Xenopus tropicalis: one gene and its partner. The protein of the gene in region 1 interacts with the protein of each later gene in a pairwise test. Links are inferred from orthologs where the notes say so. Each region holds a gene or a part of one and is shown on either strand. Other genes may lie near its edges.

Region 1 (3,655 bases):
CACGGGCCGATAGAAGCTGCCGATATCGGTCCCTTGGACCGACTCGGCAGCTTATCTGCCCGTGTAGGGGCAGAAACGAGTGGGCTGGCCGACCGATAGCTGGCCTGAAATTGGCCAGCTATCGGTCGGCCAGGTTAGAAAATCCAGTCTCGCATCATAATGCAACCCCTACCTTACTTAGTTCCATTGTGCAGTGAAGCATTCTGGGACTAGAAAGTCCCTACTTTCCATTGTGAGTGGTGCACAGATTCTTTGGAAAGCAGGAGGACGTCAATTACCAGAATCCATCACTACACAGTGGAACAAAGTAAGAAAGGGGTTGACGGTCATGGTTTTCTTTCAGTCTATGCAATCAGGTGTGTATATCTGGTTTCAGTTAACACCCACTTATCTTTAGCAGAATACTTCAGAATTAACTTAAAGCATCTACTGATGTGAAACCTGTTGATATTGTTCCAGAGAACTTATTGAAATGCTTGCACTTTCAAGGAACCAGAAGCTCAGCCAACCTGGTGAAGAGAACCAAGTGAGTCTGTAGATATGCAGTTTTGATTTACAGATTATAGAATGAATATAACTACAAAACAGTTGATTGCATTACTATTAATTTTACATATGTTACATCGTTTATATGCAATTGACATATTGCTAGCCTTGATGTAGTCAAAGGGATATGACTAGATAAAGGACAATTTGCAGTGTTTACATATTGATGAAATATGATCTAACTGTATATGATAAATATGATTTATATTTGAAAAGTTGTAATTCCTTTTTTATCAGTAAAAATAATCATTTGAGCCTGTCGACTTCTCTCCCTATTTTTAGTTGTATATATACCATAAAATTAAGCATCATCATGATAATAATTATTCATTTATAAAGTGCAATGATAACATAATTCTATTATTAAACATTATAACAAATGGGGGGGGGGGTCTTATAATAATTTAACAAACAAGTTATCGAATGAAATAGGATTTGACAGCCCTGCTCACAAGAGCTTACTATCTAAATAGCTTATACTTTCATCTAAATCTATAGGTATTCTTTCTTTTCAATTCAAAATGTGGCAATAATCCATCTATGTGGCAAGAGGAAAGATACTGTGCCTCCTCATCCTAGTTGGATATAACAACCCCAGCAGTATTTGATAGACACCAATAGGTTGCATTTGACTCTGTCTGCCCTCTGTGCAGTGAGCTATGGTAATGGCTTTTTTGCTCTCCTTTTAAATGGCAACAGTGCCCAGCAAATGTAACTTTTATTTGTATTATGGCTTACTATTTACTGCATGCCCCACTGAAATAAGCCTGCTGTATAATGTGTTAAACCCCCCAATCTCCCCCCCCCCTTCCTTAGTGCCCACAATGCAGATATTTGCCATGAAGGAGGAATAGCTGTTATGTGGGCATCCCTTATTTAAAGGAATACTATCAAGGGTACCAATGCTGTTTTAAAATACATTAGTTAATAGTATTCCTCACACAAATCCTCTGCTGAAATATAGCTAGGTTCAGAGGGCAGGTAACTGAGCATGCTGTCGGGGGGTACATTCCTCCTGGATAGTACTAAATGCAGAACTCTGCTGTACTGGTCTGTGAACGAGTGCAAGAATAGAAGGGTTGGTAGGAAATTCAGGTAAGGCACTGCAAACTGCTGGATTAGAGTGCCTTCTGTGGTACAGTGTGTGAAGTCTAGATAGAGGAGGAGCAGCAGCAGAAAGTATGTACTGAGACATGCTCTGTTGTGTATGACAAGGCAGTCTTACGGAGTAGTTACATTCTGTGATTCTGTTCATGATTTTAGTAGATACACAGCATGGAAATAAAATTTACTGACCTGGTAGATAGCAAGTATTATCAGAAGCAATGTTATAAATGAAAATTATAATAATATATAATTATATTATAAATAAAATATATGAAGTTACAAATTAGCAACTTAAGAGGTAATGCAATAAAAGGTCTAAAGTTTGCCCACACCTAGTAACCAACTGCAACCAATCAGATGCTTTCATACCACTGACCAGTAAATATCTGCTATCTGTTGACTGGTTGCTCTGGGTTACTAGACAAAATGCAGACTTGAGACTGTTTATTACATTCCCCCATTTATTTGGTAAAATACATTGTTTACGATGTGTATTACATAACAGGCAAATGCATTTTTTAGTAGTTAGTTGTTCATCCTTGCATTACCCTATCTCTCTCAGGTAACTTATCACAGTACCCAATTCTGTCTGTTTTTGTCAGATTTTAGAGTTACTAATTCAGAAGGATGGGGAATTCCAAGAACTAATGAAAGTGGCATTAAGCCAGGGGAAGATTCACCAAGAAATGCAGGTTTTAGAAAAAGAGGTGGAGAAGAGGGACAGTGATATCCAGCAACTACAGAAACAGCTGAAGGAAGCCGAACACATATTGGTAAGCTCTAGAAATAAACAACTGCTGGCAGCTTTTTGTCGTCTGCTTATATGGAACAAGCATGAGTTGATTCTGAGTAGAAATTTTTACCTCCGTGCTTATTCCTAACTGAGTAATAATCTTATTCCTAACTGAGTAATAATTATTGTATTGTTTTTTTAGGTATCTTGGTCCCCAGTGTTGCTATACTTTGCTTCAGGAAATGGGTTGTCTTGAACCAAAAGTACTTTTTCCTATGTATTAGCAATGCAACAGCTATTAGGGGACTGACACAACACTTTTATTAATAACTCCACAGCAGACAATCCAGTAATCCACAATGCAAGAGAGTTCTCTACTCACTTTGAGATACCACGGCAACAATTTAAATTTTGATTCTGTGTTATTTTTTCTTATTTAAATAATTCATTTATGCCTCTTTCCATCCTGGAATATGGTGTCATATTATCAGAATGACAAGTGCATTTTCAAGGATAAAAATCTCCTTACTAAGGTAAATTGGTAAATAATGCCATGCAATCTGGGGAAAATACAGTACTAATCTAACTGCACGTTTCCACAAGGTGTCAGTAAAGGGGTAGTTAAGTATATACGTTCTCATTTTAAAAACTAAATTTAGTTCAGGTCCTAAGCTGAAAAGTAATCACGTGTTCCACCACTTATCATAACAACATGGCATTAAAACCACTGTTTAATTGGAGCTAGCAGAGGGATTCTCTACCCAAAAACTGTTTTTACAAAACAAAAGGAAATGTAATTTAAGCAATTAAAATATAAATTAATTAAATAAAGGTTTTACAAATATTTATTGCAGGTGAATGTTGTATTTGTTTATTTCTTGCTGTTCTTTGGGTCTGATTCTTAAAATGTATCAAGAGTCATTTATTTTTTAGGTCCAGGCTTCAGTTGGCTTCTGCTATATTGTTTCAGAAGTCAGTGTCAGGAATGCAGACAATATAAACCAGTTTTTGTTTGGAGCTTATCTAAACTAATTGCTGTGACTAAGGAACACTAAGTTAGCTTTCTTTAGAATAAAAATACATGTATTTGGATAATAAAGCTTCTTTTACTAATGTTATCACTTTTTGAATGTTGGGGTCATCTATATTAGTGGATGTCAAACACAGGGCTTTCAGATGTTGTTGAACTACAACCTTCAGCACTTGGTGGGAATTTTAACCTCCTCTCTTTGCCTCGTATAATTTTATTTATACAGTGCTACTTTTCAC
Region 2 (3,755 bases), on another chromosome or scaffold:
GCACACATGCACGCACACACACATGCTCGCACACATGCACACACATCCACGCACACACACATGCACAAACACATGCACGGACACACATGCACACACACATGCACGCACACACATGCACGCACACACACATGCTTGTCTGAAGGGTGGGCGAGAAGGCCACTGACTGCTATGAACAATTTTGAAAGCCTGGATCAATACTGTTAAAACAAGGGCTGCTGAATTTCTGGGCTGACACAGTACAGGTGGCCATACACTGTAACATCCACCTACAGGTGAGCGATATCGGGCTAAAACAAACAAATTAAAATGGCGGGTATAGGCGCCCTCGGTTTGGGGACTGCATCAACGAGCCAATGCAGAGTTTGATCCGACGGAAAAATCAAACCTGCCCAATTGAGATCCGGCATAGATCTTGATCGGCTGAAATCGGCCCCTGTATGGCCTTGTTGCACATACAAAACACAGCATCTCTAGCCATATTCATTTTTAGGCTTTAGTTCTCCTTTAAAGGCAAACTGTAGGTTACTGAGGCAGATGCTGCTAACCAGTGATTGCTGCTATTAATAAACCAAAGGGGAACTGATATGGGTATGTACGTATGTATGTATGTATATCTTTATTTATAAAGCGCTACTTATGTACGCAGCGCTGTACAGTAGAATACATTAATACAAACAGCGGGTTAAAGATAATGGATAAATACAAAGTATAACAATAAATACAAATAAATACAAGGTACAGTTGCAATAAGAGTCAGAAACAAGATGAAGGAGGTCCCTGCCCCGTAGAGCTTACAATCTATATGGGAGGGGTAACTAACAGACACAAATGGGTACGTGCTTATTTGGGCATTTATGCCTAATGTATTTGTGGAGCATATTATAACAACAAAATGAAAGGTGTAATTGGGCAGAAGCTGGGCACGGAAGGTCACATGATGTTAGGCACCCTGCATACCTTCCCGTACCTGCAGCGCATTTGGGGAAAGAGAGACCAGAGGCGCGCCAGGCTCCCCCCCGGGACACGCCCCCTATTGGCTGACTGCTGCAGACACGCTCTTGCACGCCGAGCTATGTGTTGCCTCCACAAAGTATGCGCCACGCCCACACCCGCCCACCTTCCTGCCGGCCCCGCCCCTCCCCGAGTACCAAGTCGCTGTGTGTATGAGTTCGGCTCTGTCCGTCGCCTCTTCACTTACCGGCTGTGTGCCTCCTGTATGTGCAGAGCCCGAACGCTGCCTGAGGGCGGTGACTGGAAGTTGCCTCCTTTATTCCGACTCATTTGCCATCGCTAGAGGTGCCTGTGCCGTGCGCTTATCCCGCTCCGAGCGCCACTGAGCCAAGTAAGTGAAGGTGTGAGAGTTGCTCTCAGTGCTGCTCCCCCTGCGCTCCCAGCGGCTGCTCCGCCTCACCCTTCCGCGCCCAGCAGCCCGCTCTGTCCTGGGGCGCCTGTTAGTATGAGCTGTTAGTATGTCCTGGGGCGCCTGTTAGTATGCGCTGTTAGTGTGCGCTGGGGCGCCTGTTAGTATGCGCTGTTAGTATGCGCTGGGGCTCTCCCTTGCCCTCAGCGTGTAGCTGCGATTTCTGCCTATTGCTGGCAGGTGTTTGTGCTGTTAGGGAACATGGGCTTTGCTCCTGTCACATATAGAGACCCGTAGTCCCTGTATGTACCTCACTCCTATTAGGGGTAAGTCAGGAAAATGAAGAGAGTTTGCCCCCCTCAGGCCGGGGCTAGACCTGCAGCTTTCCAGTAGCAGTTAATCGCAGCAGGAACTATTTGCACTGGTGCTTGGTGGGCAAATGTCATCAGGGATTCTGCCAGCCTTGTTACCTGCCCAGTGCCTGGCAGCTGACAGATTGCACATACAGGGGGTAGGTACCCTCCTGCCAAGGCATCATGGATATAAGGCAGATGGCTACTTACTGGCTACATGCTGTTGCACTGAGCAGCATATTTGCTTTTATGGCCCCAGGCACAGGAATTGATGAGACCTGTCTGCAACACGATGCAAAGAGTAGCCACAAACTTGTGATTGGGCTGTAAGTGTCAGAATGGGGGTAACAGCAGTGCGCAAACATACTGGGCTCCTGTAGGGTGTTACCCTGCTAAATGTATTATGAGAGTAGTACTAGTCAGTGAACTAGAGATCTATAACTTTACAACCTACCTGCAGCTGCTAGTGAACTGTATATCCCACTACCCCTTCACAGTTTTTACTAGGTACTTTACAATTGGCAAACTTCTTCAGTCCAACCTGCATGCATCCAGGTCCTGTTAGATTGTCTTTTGTAGCACAGCCTTGATCATTCCTGAGTGGGGATTGCAGTTCAACAACAACATTGTGGGCACAAGTGTATTTAGGGAACAGAGTCTGTAGAATGATAATGCATAAAGGCATGCCCTGGCTAGAATTTTGTGCACATAGTATCACAATGTGAGCTAAGTCATGTTTAATTGTATTGATAGAAAGCAGCTTCTGAAATGGTTGTTAGATTCATTGTTACAATCTCACTGCTCTATTGTGGGAATGCACTTTGTTAGTATGTTTATTTTATCAATCAACAACCTGTTCTGCAGGAATGATTGTGGCTTTACTGAATAGTGCGGCACCTTATGCTTCCCTCTCTGTTCCACTGTATGAGCACAACCTGCCAGCAAATACAATGAATAGTAATTAGTAATTAAGAATAATGAATATATCTTTGCATGTGCTGCATTCTGTTTATAGTGTTCTTAATATAGTTAATTGCCCCATATTTATTGCTGTATTTAGAACGGCTATACTGTATGTCATTTGTTTTTTTATCTTCCCTGTACCTTTAGTAAAGCACAGAAGTAGAGGTAGGGAAGGCAGGGATATATATATCTATATCTATCTATATATATATCTCAATATTTTTAGCTGAAGTCTTCTTTATTTTTCCTAGTTTAGAAAGTAAAGTGTGAAAGCATAACTTACTGTACACAACTTTTTAGGAGTATTGGGGTTTATACATATTAGTATACATTGCTTGGTTTTCTAGAACCTTCTCCTAGGACTGATATGCCAGAGCCATTTTTGACCAGTTGTGGTATTGCTGCATTGGTGTGTTTTGTGGTGGTGCAACTGGAGCCAGTGGTATAGCTTGCCCCCTCTGTGGTATAGCTTGCCCCCTGAGGATGCAGGGTCTGCTCCCCCACTGACTGGATGCCATTAGACTCCAGATTAAAATGCAGGGCTGTGGAGTCGGAGTCGAGGTGTCGGAGGCAATTTTGGGTACCTGGAGTCGGAGTCGGCAAAAAATGAACCGACTCCGACTCCTACTAAATTTAAATGGGAATAAAAAAAAAAATAAAGCAAGTTTAAATGTCCCAATTCACAAACAGTCATAATTAATTACTTCTCCGCTATAAGAATAAAGCCCAATGCACACAGTGCATAAACGAACACGTTGAGTGACCATGAAGCATGCTTTTCATTGACTGTATGAATGTATAAAATACATTAGCATATTAAAAACAGAAGAGTCGGAGTCGGAAGTATCAGAAACTGAGGAGTCGGAGAATTTATCTACCGACTCCACAGCCCTGTTAAAATGTCATGTTGCTGATTCCAACCCCCCAAAAAAATTAAAGATTCAAGACTTTTTTTTTAATCTGACCCCTGTTGTATTGTTTGATAGCATATATTTATTAAGCTCCAACATATTTGGCAGCACTGCACAATAAATGGGTGTATACACTGAACATACAGATTACATGCAAAAACAACTACT

Evidence for each region.
Region 2: the proteins of med4 (region 1) and tnfaip8 interact in binary tests that used the Homo sapiens proteins (3 or more experiments, as listed by UniProt). The two-hybrid records come from large-scale screens. The link is inferred for Xenopus tropicalis from reciprocal best matches to the Homo sapiens genes MED4 and TNFAIP8.

Annotation. Positions count from the first base shown.
Region 1 is NC_030678.2:134,874,592-134,878,246, reverse strand, and holds part of med4 (mediator of RNA polymerase II transcription subunit 4), read left to right. Parts: intron 1-459; coding exon 460-526; intron 527-2,255; coding exon 2,256-2,426; intron 2,427-3,655. UniProt on the Homo sapiens protein: Component of the Mediator complex, a coactivator involved in the regulated transcription of nearly all RNA polymerase II-dependent genes.
Region 2 is NC_030677.2:170,621,542-170,625,296, reverse strand, and holds the start of tnfaip8 (tumor necrosis factor alpha-induced protein 8), read left to right. Parts: upstream 1-1,187; 5' UTR 1,188-1,341; coding exon 1,342-1,342; exon of another isoform or gene 1,343-1,352; intron 1,353-3,755. UniProt on the Homo sapiens protein: Acts as a negative mediator of apoptosis and may play a role in tumor progression.